Linked DNA regions of Saccharomyces cerevisiae S288C. Changing the gene in region 2 together with the main gene of any one other region gives a genetic interaction. Each region holds a gene or a part of one and is shown on either strand. Other genes may lie near its edges.

Region 1 (3,859 bases), 430 kb from region 2:
ATTGTTCTTTCTGTGGTAAGAAGACCGTCAAGAGAGGTGCTGCTGGTATTTGGACTTGTTCCTGTTGTAAGAAGACCGTCGCTGGTGGTGCTTACACTGTCTCCACTGCTGCTGCCGCCACCGTTAGATCTACCATCAGAAGATTGAGAGAAATGGTTGAAGCTTGATTTTATTTTAATTATATGTATAAAAATCATAAAACAACTATATAATTAATTATAACTCAAAAACTTTTCCAGTAAATGTCTGTTTTTTGGGCAGGAACAATGGCCAATAGCTCACGTACTGTTCGTGGGGGCCTTAAGCCTGGTATCTAGGCTCTGATTTCCAGAAGAAAGTGACATCGATGAATGCACTCAAGAGATTTTATGTGTTGTGAATATGTATATATTTATTTAGAAAAAAAAAAAAAAAAAAAAACCAAAATCATATACCTTAGGCATCCCGTTTCCCTCTTCATCATTTTTGTCCCTTTATATCAATTTTTTTAGACTTCATATAATTTTGTATCAACTGTACCCTACATCCCTTGGTATTCAAAATCTTGATATTACTACTTTTGCCATTACTGTCAGTGATTTGTTTGTTTAATATGAACTCCGTCAAGTTTTGCTCATTCAAGAAATTTGTTGTCTCTTCTATACTGTTGAAATTAAACTCACTTTTAACAAAATCTAAATTGACCTGGTTATAACTCTTACAAATTATGGTCAAAAATATCAACTTTTCTAGATTTAAGAATGAATTAATTAGACATTTTTCAAATTTGTGCAGTTTTAGGTAGTTTTTCATGAAGTAGTGATAATTGCCGACTAGTTTCATATCGCTCAACTCAAATATCATTTTGACATGTTCGTCCTCCAAGATTTCCGAAGAGCCATCGTCTATTAACTTAAGTTTTAAATGAGAAATCGACGGATAGTCTTCGGTTAACATCGAATACAAAACAGAATAGCATATAAATTCGGAATAAGATTTTTTTGGTATTGTAGGGTTTTCGAATAACGCCATAATCCTATTTTGACATTGATTAAATTCCCCAAGATCTCCGTTCTCCAAGGCAATACGTGCATGCGTTTGGTACACTTTAATAGTGAAAGAGTTCTCGATCATTTGCACTCTTAGGTCTTGTCTCATTGATTTAAACTGGTCGCAAAGGTAAGTATAAGTGGCTGTTTTAGATTGGTATTTGTCCATTAACAAGCAATACATTTTTTGTAGAATATTTGGGGGTCTGATCAAGTCAGGATTAGGCTCTGAAGTTAGTCTCAGATAAGATTTCTCTAGAGTTTGGCAACGCCCTACCACATGAATCTTTTTGTCATATTGATGAGATTTGCTACTAATGGCATTTAGGTTGGCAAAGTCTTCATTCAAATTATCGTTACTATTCGTCGTCGCTGATGGTCCCTGACTGAATCTTTCTGCCCTTCTCTTTCTTCTCTCTAATTCATCACTGCCACCCATTTCAACTTTCCATCCCGATGCCGAACCTACAGCACCATGCCCTACTATATTACTGTTGCTCATTACATTGCCGGATACCCCGTTAGAAAGGGCTGATGCCTTCTTAGATACTCTTGGTAATTTCTTTTTAATGTTTTTGTTCATACGTTTTTGTAATCCCGGAAGCGGTGTTACCATCAAAGGGTTAGAAACCTGGTTGACGTTGTTCCAAGATAAACGTGGTTCTGGCAAAGGCAGAGAAGGTTGTTGATTGGCAATGAAATTATTATTATTGTATGTCAGAGAAGGGAAAGATCCGGCGTAATCTAGGGGCCTATTCAGGCTTTGGCCGAATGGTCCTCCTTGAGATGAAGCTTCCCTGTCCTCCGTGGTATTGTTAGTAAAGTGACCGTAAGGATTCTGCATAATGTTATTGGAAACTCAACTACTCGCTGCCGAACGGTTCCTACTCCTTGTATTCTATGGTTTCTTTACGAGACAGCCAAATCTCTATTTTTTGTCATGTTCAGTCCTTTTTTACTCAAAAATTCCAAACCGTGAAGGATGATGCATGTTGACAATAAATGATAGCCGTCATCACATACAGTGTGCAATATCTAGATACTTCTAACCATTTCTTCCTGTCGTGGGGAGTTCATACCATTTTGACAGATGACAAACAGTAGTGAAAAACAATGGGAAAGAATCCAGCAATTAGAAAAGGAGCACGTGGAGGTATATAGAGAGTTGTTGATCACGTTGGACAGGTTGTACTTGATTAGAAAACACAATCATGCGGTAATATTAAGCCATACTCAACAGCGCCTCTTGGAAATTAGACACCAACTTCAAATTAATCTTGAAAAGACTGCTCTTCTTATTAGACTGTTGGAGAAACCGGACAATACCAATGTATTATTCACCAAGCTACAAAACCTCTTAGAAGAAAGCAATTCTCTGGACTATGAGCTCTTGCAATCGTTAGGTGCTCAATCTTCATTGCACAAACAGTTGATTGAATCAAGAGCAGAACGCGACGAATTGATGTCAAAACTGATTGAGTTATCGTCGAAGTTTCCCAAACCAACTATACCGCCAGACGACAGTGATACTGCTGGAAAACAGGTTGAGGTAGAAAAGGAAAATGAAACGATACAAGAATTGATGATTGCTTTACAGATACACTCCGGATATACAAACATATCCTACACAATTTGATTTTTATCTTCTAATGCTATTTATATATTCAAATAATTTTAATACTGACAACGCTAATAATAATAGTTACTTAATTAAGGTTTGAATCTTCGAGAAAAAAAAAAGGTAGGAAAATTAAGGAACTACTCACAAATTCAGAGAGAGAGAAGGGATAAAAAAATATCTGCCAATGGAGGTAACTTCAATGTTTCTCAATAGAATGATGAAGACCAGGACTGGTCTTTATCGCTTATATTCAACCCTTAAAGTTCCACATGTAGAAATCAATGGCATAAAATACAAGACCGACCCACAGACTACCAATGTTACAGATTCAATAATAAAGCTTACCGACAGATCATTACATTTGAAAGAATCACATCCAGTAGGCATTCTTCGCGATCTAATTGAAAAGAAATTAAACTCAGTCGACAACACATTTAAGATCTTTAATAATTTCAAGCCCGTGGTAACCACAATGGAAAACTTCGATTCTTTAGGGTTTCCTAAGGATCATCCTGGAAGATCAAAATCTGACACATATTATATAAATGAGACGCACCTACTGAGAACACATACTTCAGCCCACGAATTAGAGTGCTTTCAAAAAATAAGAAACGATTCAGATAATATTAAAAGTGGATTTTTAATATCTGCAGATGTGTACAGAAGAGATGAAATTGACAAAACTCACTATCCGGTATTCCACCAAATGGAAGGAGCCACAATTTGGAAACGAACGAAGGCTGATGTGGGCGTAAAGGAGCCAATGTATATCGAGAAAATCCGTGAAGATATCAGACAGGTAGAGAACCTTTTAAATAAAGAAAATGTAAAGATTACGGTTGACGATGATACTATACCTTTGAAAGAAAATAATCCTAAACAAGAGTATATGTCCGATCTGGAGGTTGATTTGTGCTCTCAACATTTGAAGAGGTCCATTGAACTGATAGTTTCTGAAGTTTTTAACAAAAAAATATCTAGCATGATCAAGAACAAAGCGAATAATACACCCAAAGAGCTAAAAGTCCGTTGGATTAACGCTTACTTCCCCTGGACCGCGCCCTCATGGGAAATAGAGGTTTGGTGGCAGGGCGAATGGCTCGAACTCTGCGGATGCGGATTGATTCGTCAAGATGTGCTACTAAGAGCCGGATATAAACCTTCTGAAACAATTGGGTGGGCTTTTGGCTTGGGTTTGGACCGCATTGCT
Region 2 (5,428 bases):
GCGATCGAAGCACGTGATCAGTTTTCCACATCCGTGATTTGGCGCAAATTACCATGTGAGCGTGCGGGAATAAGCTCCTTTATTTGCGGAGCGACAAAGGAAACGAGACCATATTACCCTACCTTCCTTGTTTTATTTTACTTTTTTTTCTAATTTTAATTTTCTTCGTTCCTTCAACTGTATGTACCCTTTTTCTACCGGAAATAAGACGGTCGTAGTGTCCGCGTTTTTGGTTCTTTAACGACAAGACATCAGTGCCTTCTCGCATTTTTGTTGAATTGTATTGTATTATGCTCGATGTTTCCAGAACGATATATACATCTGAGAGTTTATATATCAACGATCATTTTCTTGTTGCAGTAAGCTATAATAGACGCGTCAAATAGTCTAACCAGTCTAAATCTCATCAGCCACACACACGTACATCGGAATATTATAGAGAACAAATGTCCTTCATTAAAAACTTGTTATTTGGAGGTGTTAAAACAAGTGAGGATCCAACCGGGCTCACAGGTAACGGGGCCTCAAACACAAACGATTCTAATAAAGGTAGTGAACCGGTAGTAGCGGGTAATTTCTTTCCTAGGACGCTTTCCAAATTTAACGGCCACGACGATGAAAAAATATTTATTGCTATTAGGGGCAAAGTATACGACTGCACAAGAGGGAGGCAGTTTTACGGTCCAAGCGGGCCATACACTAACTTTGCAGGCCATGATGCGTCGCGTGGTCTTGCATTGAACTCCTTCGATCTGGACGTTATTAAAGATTGGGATCAGCCTATCGATCCCTTAGATGATCTGACAAAAGAACAGATTGACGCACTGGATGAGTGGCAAGAGCATTTTGAGAATAAGTACCCATGCATTGGTACTCTGATTCCGGAGCCTGGCGTGAACGTATGACGATTGAGCTCCGCACATTATTTATTAATAGCAAACACCAAGGAAAGGGAAAAAGGAAGGGGCGTGGTGGACGATGATATATGTATACATATACATATCTATATTTTGAAAAAATCTTCTATATAACGGTTGTATAGAAATAATTACTTATTTATGAATTAGTACAAAATATACAAAGCATGCTGCTGTTCGGAACGTGACGAAAACAGTAGCTTAAACTGTATATTTTTTGTGATACTGTGCGGCTGAAACAGGGAACAATATCATTAGAACTGCACAAATGCTTCTCTAGGGATGCCATTCATGCTACTCTGAAAACCCTTTATGGCAACTTCATAGTTCCAGTTACTTTGCTCGGCCAACATAAACGTGTATTCTGCATTCAATTTCGTTTCCAAATGTAGTTTATTCAGCAGCTCGAGTTGTACGGGATTTAGCCGCGACTGGACATCTGGAGGTAGTTGCAAAGTGGGAGCCATGACCATGGCTCCTTGGGGTGCGCCGGGAATGCTCATCCCTCCTGGTACCACTGAAGGTTGTGGCTGCGGTGGTGTCGTTATATTTGGGTTCATGCTTGCGACCTGTGGTAGGACCGAGGCCTGTTGCTGTGGAGGCTGTGCTATTGCAATAGATGCAGTTTTCCAAGCGCCTGTGGAATACGCTCTTACAGTTAACAGATCAGATGCGATTATGACACTATTATTCATTGGAACAATTACCCAGGTTCTATCAAAGGATTTTTTGGATAACTTATTATTTGATGTGGAGTTGTAACCATGATTGTATCTTCTATTCTTTTGATAGTTATTTTTCCCCGTTTTTTTATTGGATTCCAGTTCAGGCTTGCCAGTCTCTTCAAAAAATCCGTGCAACGTAATAACGAACCCATTTATTTGAGGATAACTAATTGTTTCCATTGAGTATTCATTGGGTTGTTCTTGTAAATGGTGCTTTGTTTTCGGCAAAGTCTTGAATATACTATTAATGGACTCTTGCCCGATTGACAATCTCTGCTGGATAGATTTTTCACTGGACACTTTGGATATATTACGTGAGGACGACATGTAATAACCAAATGCTGGAGTTTGGTCCGAATCTGTTACCGTAGATGGAGGAATAGTAGAATCCACGGAAACAGAAAACTGGGATTGGGGCGAATACAAATTTAACAGTTGTTCTCTATTATTATCCCATAGATTCAAAAAGTTAGTTGCAAAGTCTGTAGATGATTGCCCTAATGCATCGTTTTCGAAAAAAAACTGTTGAATCTTCATCGGTAATGAGTAAACGGTTTGCAATTTTTGTTCGTCTCTCACAATCACGTTATCTAGTACAACCAATTTCGGAAATAATCTTAACATTTCAGTGCGATACAACTTATCGGTGGTTATCGGGTTATTTGTCATCAAAAGCTCTCTTAGATCTTTGAATTTGTTCTTCCAAACTTCTAGCGATCTAAATCTAAAAATCTGATTGTTGGCCAGACAGAGGTTTTTCAAATTAGGAAATGTTTGAGCCAATGTGGAAATTGCTGAGATGTCCTTAAGTTGGTTGTCAGCAAGATTGACACTTTCCACTATCAAACTTTTTTCTGTAGAAGCCAGTTTCATCATTGCTGGAAACATCTTAGACTGGGTGGAGATGGAACTAAAGACGCCCTTTTGAATTAGCTCGGGATCTGAATGTAAAGCGCCCAAATTTAGTAATTTTGTTTGTGGGTCATACCTCTTAAGGAGCACCCCCCTCAAGAACGAAATGGTGTCTGAAGTTCCCGCAGAGGCCCCATTGTTATCTAAAAGTTCGAACTTTAAATTACTGCCTGCAAACCGGACACCGTTCCATTTCATTAACGATTCTGCTTCTGCCTTTGAGTTGACATATCCAATAACTAAAGGTCCTTCCACATGAGCGTCATAAACAGCTACTCGAGCGTTGCGGCTTATAAAATTAATCAAATCGTTCATGGTTGCATTCTGCCAGTTCCTCACGCTAATCTTTATTCTATTTTGTTGCATCTGCTGTTGAGCCATCATATTGATATTTCCAACATTGTGAAATCCGCTCATTTTTTTTGCTGCTATTAGCGATGCAGAATTTTTAACGATTTATTTTACTCTTCCTTCTTAGAGTAAGTATGTCTTCAACAGTCTGTTACTATTTTTTTTTCTACATACTCAATTCAGCTCTTACTGAAATTTTCTTCTGGAAAAAAAAGGAAGACGGGTAATGATGATCTTATATAACAGTATAATCTGTAGGTATATTTATCGTTAGAATCCTCTACGAAAGGCAAGTGGGCATGGATTTCTAGCTTTTGAAGCCGCGTTTAAGTTTCTTCAGAATTAATATTCGTAGAAATTTTCTGTTCTTTGCTTCTTTTCTGAGCTTTGGTGGAATAAACTTGGTTCCATTCAACTTAAAGGAAGGAGGAAGTACTGTTCAAAATGACAGTTTTATACACATCTGCATCGCTGAAAAAAATGAAGTGCTTGGCATTCAACATGGGCATGAATTGCGTACGAACAGTATCTCATGCAAGAAGTGGAGGTGCAAAATTTGGAGGACGGAATGTATTTAATATATTTGACTCAAAAACTCCTGATTCAGTGCGTATAAAGGCCTTCAAAAACACAATATACCAGTCTGCCATGGGCAAAGGTAAGACCAAGTTTTCTGCAATGGAAATTAATCTCATAACAAGTCTAGTGCGCGGATATAAAGGAGAAGGTAAGAAGAACGCGATAAATCCTCTCCAAACTAACGTGCAAATTCTTAACAAATTATTACTAACACATCGATTAACAGACAAAGACATATTAGAAGGAATGAACCTGGCAGCCGGTCCTGTCAATGTTGCTATTCCTCGAGACATAACACCGCAGGAAGAAAAGAAGAAAGTTGAACTAAGAAATCGAAAAGCAGAGAATATGGATCTTCACCCGAGCAGGAAGATGCATATTAAGGAACTTCTACACTCTTTGAACTTAGATATGTGTAATGATGAGGAGGTTTATCAGAAAATATCACTTTACTTACAGAAAAATGAGGAAAGCAGGACTTCAGTGGGTGCCTCGCAACAAAACCACGTAGATATCGATATAAACTCCCTAAAACGCTATCTACAAAATATTGAAAAGAAGGCACGTCAAAAAAGTGCCATCGATAAACAAAAAAAGAATCAAGCTCGTATATATCAATGGAATACTCAATCCTTCTCCGAAATAGTACCCTTATCAGCTGGAAATATCTTATTCAAAAGGGAACCCAATCGCTTATGGAAACGTTTACAAAATGGAATAAGTGTATTTTTAGGTTCAAACGGAGGAGGAAAAAAGAGTAAAACTACTAAAAAAGTACTTCAAGGGAATAACATATTGTTACACTCATTAGAAAACAATAAGGATATGACCCTGTCAAACAACTTTGATCACAGTGTCTTTAACATCAATTTTACGGACTTATTTGGCGTTATTAATGCATCTGGGTCCCCACCAGATAGAGTTTTGAACGAAATTAATGAGATCGAATTAAAAGGTTGGAAATGTGTGGGGAACTTATACGATAATAATAAAATTGTAGTTTTTCAAAGTAGCAATCCACTCTTAGAGGATACGAAGATTCCTCAAAAGTCTTTCACTAATTCAAAGAGATTCCTTATTTCACTCTCAGCATTGCTGGCCTCCTTTTTTGCATATTATAGATACCGTCTATCTCAACGTCAAGAATCAAAGAAATGATTTTTTTCTTTCTTGTATATAACAACGTTATACATAGAAACAAATAACTACTCATCATTTTGCGAGACATATCTGTGTCTAGATTACCAATCATTTAGAGATATTAATGCTTCTTCCCTTTGAACAGATTGATTATCTCTCAAGTATCTTTCTGCTTTGACACGAGAGTAAAATACTGGACAGTCATATGAATTGCATTTACTAGCTATATGGTCATTTTCGATGCCTGCATCGGAAGTGTAACGATAACTGCACGTCCTGCACACGGTCTTTAGTGTTTGGTATTCTTTTTGTCTCTTTAATTTCTTTATGAGAAATGATAAGGTTGTGGTGCTTCTTTTCTCTAAACAGTCATCACATAACTGAAGTGAACATATTTTAGTCAATTCTTCACCACAATTACAACATGTTGCAGAAGTTCCTACTCTTGTTATGTTTTCCACTTTTGTAGTAGTTGTGCTCGCCCTTTTGGATTTTACTATTTCCTGAGCCCAGTTGCCAACATTTATACCAATCAAATTGAACAATCTATCAAGAGGAGGTATCAGAATTTTGTTTATATAATACTCCGAATCTAACTCTAAATTCTCACCTTCTAAGAACTCTTCTGGTGATACGCATCTTTCCCGAAGCAGTTGTCCTTGCTTTCCTTTAACAACAAGGTAAGGTATACGCTCCTTGTATTGGGGTTCTGCTCTATGGTCTTCATTTATTCTTCTTTTTACAACCACGGCACCTGCAGGGGCTGTCTTTTCGCTTTTATACGCTCCTAATTTAACTTCTTTT
Region 3 (6,829 bases), on a different chromosome or scaffold from region 2:
CGTCAAAATAGACCTGATCGGACTGAACAAAGAGCTGAATACGATTGATAAAGCAAAGATCATACAGAGGAAGTTACAGTACAGAAGATTTGTACAAAGCATTCACTATACGAATGCTTATAATGGATGTATCAGATTCTCGGATTTGTTATTACAAATACCTCTCTATACAGCTTATTCTGCAAGGGAATGTCTAGGTATTGATCAATATGTCCATCATCTATATATCCTGGGTAAAGTGGACAAGTACTTAGAAAATCAAAGAAACTTCGATGTATTGGAGATGGTGGTAACAAGATGGAAATTTCATTGCAGGATGAAACGTACCATTGAACCCGAATGGGATGTTAAAGATCCCACAGTATCGTCTCACATTTCGAATATAAACGTAAATCTGGAACCTGCTCCAGGAATTTTAGAAAGAGAACCTATTGCGACACCTAGAATGGACTACGGTGTTAACAATTTTATGTGGTCTCCGAGAATGAATCAAGACTCTACGATGGAGCCCCCGGAAGAACCAATAGATAATAATGACGATAGCGCAAATGATCTAATTGATAGATAAATTATATAAGGGCATATTTAAGAGGCTTTATAGATGTAAAAATGAACAATAAGAATAATTTAAATTTGTTTTATTGAGAGGTGATTTTCTAGAGCATGTCAAACTTTACTATTCAGGGAAAAAAGAAAAGAAAAAAATGCGCAAGCCCGGAATCGAACCGGGGGCCCAACGATGGCAACGTTGGATTTTACCACTAAACCACTTGCGCTTACTGATTATATCTTAATGGTTGAAGAGATCTGAATAAGTTTTATCTTCCTCTGGGCAAAGAATACTATACATTGCAAGAGTACCCATTAGAAGGGAATTAATTTATGCACTCTAAATCTTTTTTGATTATTCCGGATATTATTTTTGTTGATAATTAGAGGTAAAAAATAGTATTAATGAAGAAATAAGTATTGATCTTCTTATACTAAATAAGAGAGGTATATAAAACACACGCCGATTGGTCATATTAATCATGACCAATATAATAGTGATTCCGGTAGTTACTATACATTGATGTGACGACTCATATTCCTCATATATGTACCTACCATATCATGTTCAACTAATAGATTTTAAGCACAGCTTCAGTATTGTCTCAGCTTCTCGTTTAACATTCCTTCTGCAATAGGTGCAATCACACTTAAACGTATACGAGGTGTACATTAATATACGATGTAAGCATTATATTGTTACCATAGCAACTCATGTCACTATTAATTACTCTCGTTCCAACAATTTTGTATTTGAAGCTTTAACGGGTGTTAAATGCACAGCCGATACGGCTCATCCGAAAAGTAACGCCAATTATATTAACAGCTTTTCCATTTATTTAGAATGGCGATACAACGGAAACATACGAATATGATAGTACTCAATTGTTGTGTTGGAATAAAAATCCACTATCGTCTATCAACTAATAGTTATATTATCAATATATTATCATATACGGTGTTAAGATGATGACATAAGTTATGAGAAGCTGTCATCGATGTTAGAGGAAGCTGAAGTGCAAGGATTGATAATATAATAGGATAATGAAACATATAAAACGGAATGAGGAATAATCGTAATATTAGTATGTAGAAATATAGATTCCATTTTGAGGATTCCTATATCCTCGAGGAGAACTTCTAGTATATTCTGTATACCTAATATTATAGCCTTTATCAACAATGGAATCCCAACAATTATCTCATCATTTACCCATTTCTCATGTTGTGTACACATTATATACCTCCCAGTTACTGTCAATCCTCTCCTCTTATATCGTTTCAATACAAATAATATATTATGAAGGGCAATATTACATCATTACCCGGAGATATATACTATTTGGAATGATCTTTCTTTATAAGAAAAAAAAAGAATTTCGCAGATTTCCCTGGCTTTCCTTATTCTTCCTACGTTAGCATTATTATGAATTATCGCTAATAGCAAAGGCAAAAAAGATTATCAACTGCAGGATATTCGGTCACAACTTTGACATAGATCTTGAGAACCTCAACACTATTCATTTCTCTGGCCTGATTATTTTAAGTAAAGTCAATCATTGTTAAGTTTTCTTTTGTTCTTTTCTATCATTCTCGCTCTTTCAATTACTTACACCTACAATAATAGACGTTGACCTGTGAAAGGCAAGAAACTTAACTAATAGTATAATTAAGAAGAAGTTAACATTTTACTCTACATTATTGAAACCGCTCACTGACTTCAAAAATAGGATAAAAACATAATATGGAAGGAATTTTGGATTTTTCTAACGACTTAGATATCGCTCTATTAGATCAGGTGGTATCTACATTCTATCAAGGTTCAGGTGTTCAGCAAAAGCAAGCCCAAGAGATTTTGACTAAATTTCAAGATAATCCAGACGCTTGGCAAAAAGCTGACCAAATTCTTCAATTCTCAACTAACCCTCAATCAAAATTTATTGCCCTTTCCATCCTTGATAAATTAATTACTAGAAAATGGAAATTGTTGCCGAATGATCATAGAATTGGAATTAGGAACTTCGTTGTTGGTATGATTATCTCCATGTGCCAAGACGATGAAGTATTTAAAACACAAAAGAACCTGATCAATAAGTCGGACTTGACTTTGGTCCAAATTTTAAAGCAGGAATGGCCTCAGAATTGGCCTGAATTTATCCCAGAACTAATCGGCAGTTCAAGTTCCTCTGTTAATGTTTGTGAAAATAACATGATCGTTTTGAAACTGCTATCCGAAGAAGTCTTCGATTTCTCTGCGGAACAAATGACACAAGCTAAAGCTTTACATTTGAAAAATTCCATGTCAAAAGAATTTGAACAGATTTTTAAATTATGTTTTCAAGTTTTGGAACAAGGTTCTTCAAGCTCTCTAATAGTGGCAACCTTAGAATCTTTACTGAGATATTTACATTGGATTCCTTATCGTTATATTTATGAAACCAATATTTTGGAATTATTAAGCACCAAATTCATGACATCGCCTGATACAAGAGCCATCACATTGAAATGTTTGACTGAGGTTTCAAATCTAAAAATTCCACAAGATAATGATTTGATAAAAAGACAAACTGTACTTTTTTTCCAAAATACTCTACAACAAATTGCCACAAGTGTGATGCCCGTGACTGCCGATCTGAAAGCCACTTATGCAAATGCTAACGGTAATGATCAATCTTTCTTACAAGATTTAGCAATGTTTCTAACTACATATCTCGCTCGTAATAGGGCCCTTCTAGAGAGTGATGAATCGTTAAGAGAGTTGTTGTTGAATGCGCACCAATACTTAATTCAATTATCCAAAATCGAAGAAAGAGAACTATTTAAGACGACATTGGATTACTGGCATAATTTAGTAGCAGATTTGTTTTATGAGGTTCAGCGTTTGCCTGCTACCGAAATGAGCCCATTGATACAGTTATCAGTCGGTTCACAAGCTATCTCAACTGGATCTGGCGCCCTAAATCCGGAATATATGAAAAGATTTCCATTAAAAAAACATATTTACGAAGAAATTTGTTCACAGTTGAGATTGGTCATTATTGAAAATATGGTTAGACCAGAAGAAGTCCTTGTGGTTGAAAATGATGAAGGAGAAATTGTTAGAGAGTTCGTTAAAGAATCAGACACTATCCAATTATACAAATCAGAAAGAGAGGTTCTTGTATATTTGACCCATTTGAATGTTATCGATACAGAAGAAATCATGATCAGTAAATTGGCAAGGCAAATCGATGGTTCCGAATGGTCATGGCATAATATCAACACTTTATCTTGGGCTATTGGTTCCATATCTGGTACAATGAGCGAAGATACTGAAAAAAGGTTTGTAGTTACTGTTATTAAAGATTTACTAGATTTAACGGTCAAGAAAAGGGGTAAAGATAATAAAGCTGTTGTTGCATCGGATATTATGTACGTCGTGGGCCAATATCCTAGATTTTTGAAGGCTCACTGGAATTTTCTAAGAACAGTTATTTTGAAACTTTTTGAATTTATGCATGAAACTCATGAGGGTGTTCAGGATATGGCATGTGACACATTCATTAAGATTGTTCAAAAATGTAAATATCATTTTGTTATTCAACAACCCCGTGAGTCTGAGCCTTTCATCCAAACAATAATTAGGGATATTCAAAAGACAACTGCTGACCTACAGCCGCAACAGGTCCATACATTTTACAAGGCTTGTGGTATTATTATTTCTGAAGAAAGAAGCGTAGCGGAGAGAAATAGATTATTAAGTGATTTGATGCAACTGCCAAATATGGCTTGGGACACTATAGTGGAACAATCCACTGCTAACCCAACATTGTTGTTAGATTCTGAAACTGTCAAAATTATTGCGAATATTATAAAAACCAATGTAGCTGTCTGCACCTCAATGGGAGCAGATTTCTATCCACAGTTGGGTCACATCTATTACAATATGCTTCAGCTATACAGAGCTGTTTCTTCGATGATTTCTGCTCAAGTTGCCGCAGAAGGTCTAATTGCTACGAAGACACCAAAGGTTCGTGGTTTGAGAACCATCAAAAAAGAGATTCTGAAGCTTGTTGAGACCTATATATCCAAGGCGAGAAATTTGGATGATGTCGTTAAAGTGTTAGTTGAGCCATTATTGAACGCTGTACTTGAAGACTATATGAACAACGTTCCTGATGCAAGGGACGCCGAAGTGCTAAATTGTATGACAACAGTAGTAGAAAAGGTTGGTCATATGATCCCACAAGGTGTTATTTTAATTTTACAGAGTGTATTTGAATGCACTTTGGACATGATTAACAAAGACTTCACAGAATATCCAGAGCATCGTGTAGAATTTTACAAGTTATTGAAGGTCATCAATGAGAAATCATTTGCTGCATTTTTGGAACTACCTCCGGCTGCCTTTAAATTGTTTGTTGACGCTATTTGTTGGGCGTTCAAACATAACAATAGAGATGTCGAAGTTAATGGTCTACAGATTGCATTAGACCTAGTGAAAAACATTGAAAGAATGGGAAATGTCCCATTTGCAAATGAGTTCCACAAGAATTATTTTTTCATTTTTGTCAGTGAAACGTTTTTTGTTTTAACCGATTCCGACCACAAATCCGGTTTTTCTAAGCAAGCTTTGTTACTAATGAAGTTGATTTCTTTGGTTTATGATAACAAGATTTCGGTACCATTATATCAAGAAGCTGAGGTACCACAAGGAACTTCAAATCAAGTCTACTTAAGCCAATATTTGGCTAATATGTTAAGTAATGCATTCCCCCATTTAACATCCGAACAAATCGCAAGTTTTCTCTCTGCATTAACTAAACAATACAAAGACTTAGTGGTCTTCAAAGGCACTTTGAGGGACTTTTTGGTGCAAATCAAAGAAGTCGGAGGTGATCCAACAGATTATTTGTTTGCTGAAGATAAAGAGAATGCATTAATGGAACAGAATAGACTAGAGAGGGAAAAAGCTGCCAAGATTGGTGGGTTATTAAAACCTTCCGAACTTGATGATTAGAGGCGGTGGCGTATCATTCTTTAAATTTCCAATATTTTTTCCCTTTTATTAACTAGTCTCTAATTTATAACCACGGGGTTTTCATTTCTTTTTCACTTCATATTGTATGTAAATTGGTTCTTCAAAGTTCCAATACTCTAATATAGTACTAAATACTATTTAGCCAACTTCATGGAAAAGTAAAGAATATTATTTGAAGATTCTTAAGTGATTACCCATTTTATTGTTATTATTGATGTATGTACATGATTGTAGTAAAATACTTATACGCCTTATGCTCAAGTTTTTTTGATTGCATCTTGAATTTTAACGAAACTGTTTTTGGGCCCAGCCACAGAGCCTTTAACCCAAATAACATTATTTTCATCGTCGACTTTCAAAACTTTAACATTTTGGATAGTAACATGCTCGTTTCCCATATGACCAGGCATCTTTCTTCCTGGCAGTACCCTACCTGGGTCTTGGTTTTGACCATAAGAACCACCGTGTCTATGCATAATAGATGTACCATGAGATGCTCTCAAACCCTTGAATCCATACCTTTTCATCACACCAGTAAAACCTTTGCCTTTGCTGACTGATCTGACGTCAACATATTGGCCTTCTTTGAAAAAAGAGGGTTTCAATAATGTGCCAGGTGGTATTAATCCCTTTTCATCTTTAACTCGGAATTCGGCCACATGCTCTTTTGGGTTAACAACTTTAGAAGCGAAATGACCAAGCATTTGTCTGCTAACTTTAGACAAATGCCTTGATCCGTACCCTACTTGACACGCGAAGTACCCATTGACCTCCGAAGTTCTATGCATTATTACTTCAACATTATTAACTTCTAATATAGTAGCGGCGCTTCTTTCACCAGTAGATTTATCAAAATAAGGCATCATTCCCTTCTTACGAGTAATTAAACCGCATCTTTTTGGTAGCCATTTTCTCGCATTTGCCAGTTCAGGTGAGTGATTAATCGCTGGAGCCTCGGTTGTTATACTGTTAGCAATACTAGGAGCCACTAGAAAAGGCCGAGTAGAAGAATATCTAACATGAAGTTTTGATATGCTAAATATTGATCCCTGTAGGAACTTCGACATGGCTATATTTGTTCTCTCTTGCTTTCAAAGAGTTGCCCTTTCTCGTCCCAGTTGTCAATTTATCGTCCATATATTTTTCAATAAAGTTCGTTTGACAAGGGATTACCCGAAAACAAATATCTCGCGACTGTAATAGGAGAAATGGCATTAGCATTTCAATTAAGGAAAGAAGAGGATCATCGAGAAACGAATT
Region 4 (2,845 bases), on a different chromosome or scaffold from region 2:
TCATATGTACATTTATCGAGCCAATCGAGGGCAGCAGTTTAACATCAAGCCGGATTTGCTCACGCTACTTTGACCCCTTTTCGTTTCGACGGAGAGAAGAAACCGGTGTTTTCCTATCCTTGCCTATTCTTTCCTCCTTACGGGGTCCTAGCCTGTTTCTCTTGATATGATAATAGGTGGAAACGTAGAAAAAAAAATCGACATATAAAAGTGGGGCAGATACTTCGTGTGACAATGGCCAATTCAAGCCCTTTGGGCAGATGTTGCCCTTCTTCTTTCTTAAAAAGTCTTAGTACGATTGACCAAGTCAGAAAAAAAAAAAAAAAGGAACTAAAAAAAGTTTTAATTAATTATGAGAGCTTTGGCATATTTCAAGAAGGGTGATATTCACTTCACTAATGATATCCCTAGGCCAGAAATCCAAACCGACGATGAGGTTATTATCGACGTCTCTTGGTGTGGGATTTGTGGCTCGGATCTTCACGAGTACTTGGATGGTCCAATCTTCATGCCTAAAGATGGAGAGTGCCATAAATTATCCAACGCTGCTTTACCTCTGGCAATGGGCCATGAGATGTCAGGAATTGTTTCCAAGGTTGGTCCTAAAGTGACAAAGGTGAAGGTTGGCGACCACGTGGTCGTTGATGCTGCCAGCAGTTGTGCGGACCTGCATTGCTGGCCACACTCCAAATTTTACAATTCCAAACCATGTGATGCTTGTCAGAGGGGCAGTGAAAATCTATGTACCCACGCCGGTTTTGTAGGACTAGGTGTGATCAGTGGTGGCTTTGCTGAACAAGTCGTAGTCTCTCAACATCACATTATCCCGGTTCCAAAGGAAATTCCTCTAGATGTGGCTGCTTTAGTTGAGCCTCTTTCTGTCACCTGGCATGCTGTTAAGATTTCTGGTTTCAAAAAAGGCAGTTCAGCCTTGGTTCTTGGTGCAGGTCCCATTGGGTTGTGTACCATTTTGGTACTTAAGGGAATGGGGGCTAGTAAAATTGTAGTGTCTGAAATTGCAGAGAGAAGAATAGAAATGGCCAAGAAACTGGGCGTTGAGGTGTTCAATCCCTCCAAGCACGGTCATAAATCTATAGAGATACTACGTGGTTTGACCAAGAGCCATGATGGGTTTGATTACAGTTATGATTGTTCTGGTATTCAAGTTACTTTCGAAACCTCTTTGAAGGCATTAACATTCAAGGGGACAGCCACCAACATTGCAGTTTGGGGTCCAAAACCTGTCCCATTCCAACCAATGGATGTGACTCTCCAAGAGAAAGTTATGACTGGTTCGATCGGCTATGTTGTCGAAGACTTCGAAGAAGTTGTTCGTGCCATCCACAACGGAGACATCGCCATGGAAGATTGTAAGCAACTAATCACTGGTAAGCAAAGGATTGAGGACGGTTGGGAAAAGGGATTCCAAGAGTTGATGGATCACAAGGAATCCAACGTTAAGATTCTATTGACGCCTAACAATCACGGTGAAATGAAGTAATGACAAAATAATATTTGGGGCCCCTCGCGGCTCATTTGTAGTATCTAAGATTATGTATTTTCTTTTATAATATTTGTTGTTATGAAACAGACAGAAGTAAGTTTCTGCGACTATATTATTTTTTTTTTTCTTCTTTTTTTTTCCTTTATTCAACTTGGCGATGAGCTGAAAATTTTTTTGGTTAAGGACCCTTTAGAAGTATTGAATGTGGGAACAAAGACGACAAAAGGTAGTTTTTTCCTTGACTATACTGGTAAGATATCGTCTAAAACAAAGCATGGCCAAGAAAATATCAAAGAATTCAAGAGCTGCTAGACAATCGGATGCTCTTGAACCAGAGGTAAAGGATTTAAGTGAACTACCTAGAGCTGAAAAAACCGATTTGACTAATATTTTGATTAGAACAGCAGCCAAGAATGAGGCATTGCTGGAAGCAAAGATATCTAAGAAAGCCAATAAAAGTAAGAGGGGCAAGAAGTTAAATAAAAAGGCTCTGGAAGACAAACTGGCCAACTCTATTTCATCCATGGACAGGGATCGTTTAGTGAAGGCCTTGAATTTTACCAATCGTCTGGACGGTAAAATTGCCAAGTCCATTTCTCGTGCCAAGTACATTCAAAATACAAGAAAGGCTGGCTGGGATAGCACCAATGAGACTATAAAAAAAGAGCTGGCTTTTTTGAACGGAGGGTTGTCTGTGCAGGCAAAAAGTGCTAGTGAAGGTAATGCTGAAAAGGAAGATGAGGAGATCCCAGAAGTTTTTGACTCTTTAGCAGAGGATAACACAGTGCAGAAGACTCCTACAAATAGATTCGGTGTCCTGCCAGACGATGTTGAAGAATAGAAAATTTTCATATGAAAGGTCCTAGGAATACACGATTCTTGTACGCATTCTTCTTTTTTCTATCTTCTTTCATTCTTTGTACATTAGATAACATGGTTTTAGCTTAGTTTTATTTTATTTTTTATATATCTGGATGTATACTATTATTGAAAAACTTCATTAATAGTTACAACTTTTTCAATATCAAGTTGATTAAGAAAAAGAAAATTATTATGGGTTAGCTGAAAACCGTGTGATGCATGTCGTTTAAGGATTGTGTAAAAAAGTGAACGGCAACGCATTTCTAATATAGATAACGGCCACACAAAGTAGTACTATGAAATTTTCTGCGTATTTATGGTGGCTGTTTTTGAATCTAGCGTTGGTGAAAGGCACTTCATTGCTATCCAACGTTACATTAGCGGAAGATTCTTTCTGGGAGCATTTTCAGGCTTACACTAATACAAAGCATTTAAACCAAGAGTGGATCACAAGTGAAGCCGTCAACAATGAAGGCTCTA

The links.
Region 1: mutations in MEX67 (region 2) and MCM16 together harm fitness more than expected from each alone (negative genetic interaction), as found in Saccharomyces cerevisiae (2 studies listed by BioGRID).
Region 3: of MEX67 (region 2) and CRM1, changing one enhances a phenotype caused by changing the other (phenotypic enhancement), as found in Saccharomyces cerevisiae (6 studies listed by BioGRID, with this or other methods).
Region 4: mutations in MEX67 (region 2) and ECM1 together harm fitness more than expected from each alone (negative genetic interaction), as found in Saccharomyces cerevisiae (3 studies listed by BioGRID, with this or other methods).

The regions. Positions count from the first base shown.
Region 1 is NC_001148.4:654,681-658,539, forward strand, and holds MCM16 (Mcm16p), read left to right. Parts: upstream 1-2,118; coding exon 2,119-2,664; downstream 2,665-3,859. Other genes in the region: 60S ribosomal protein eL43 RPL43A, read left to right, coding at 1-167; THP3 (Thp3p), read right to left, coding at 460-1,872; MSF1 (phenylalanine--tRNA ligase), read left to right, coding at 2,849-3,859. UniProt on the Saccharomyces cerevisiae protein: Component of the kinetochore, a multiprotein complex that assembles on centromeric DNA and attaches chromosomes to spindle microtubules, mediating chromosome segregation and sister chromatid segregation during meiosis and mitosis.
Region 2 is NC_001148.4:227,868-233,295, forward strand, and holds MEX67 (Mex67p), read right to left. Parts: upstream 2,972-5,428; coding exon 1,172-2,971; downstream 1-1,171. Other genes in the region: DAP1 (Dap1p), read left to right, coding at 447-905; MRX4 (Mrx4p), read left to right, coding at 3,350-4,642; REV3 (DNA-directed DNA polymerase), read right to left, coding at 4,726-5,428. UniProt on the Saccharomyces cerevisiae protein: Involved in the export of mRNA from the nucleus to the cytoplasm.
Region 3 is NC_001139.9:930,248-937,076, forward strand, and holds CRM1 (exportin CRM1), read left to right. Parts: upstream 1-2,293; coding exon 2,294-5,548; downstream 5,549-6,829. Other genes in the region: calcium channel protein CCH1, read left to right, coding at 1-568; mitochondrial 54S ribosomal protein uL3m MRPL9, read right to left, coding at 5,827-6,636. UniProt on the Saccharomyces cerevisiae protein: Receptor for the leucine-rich nuclear export signal (NES).
Region 4 is NC_001133.9:34,803-37,647, forward strand, and holds ECM1 (Ecm1p), read left to right. Parts: upstream 1-1,706; coding exon 1,707-2,345; downstream 2,346-2,845. Other genes in the region: BDH1 ((R,R)-butanediol dehydrogenase), read left to right, coding at 353-1,501; CNE1 (calnexin), read left to right, coding at 2,662-2,845. UniProt on the Saccharomyces cerevisiae protein: Pre-ribosomal factor involved in 60S ribosomal protein subunit export from the nucleus.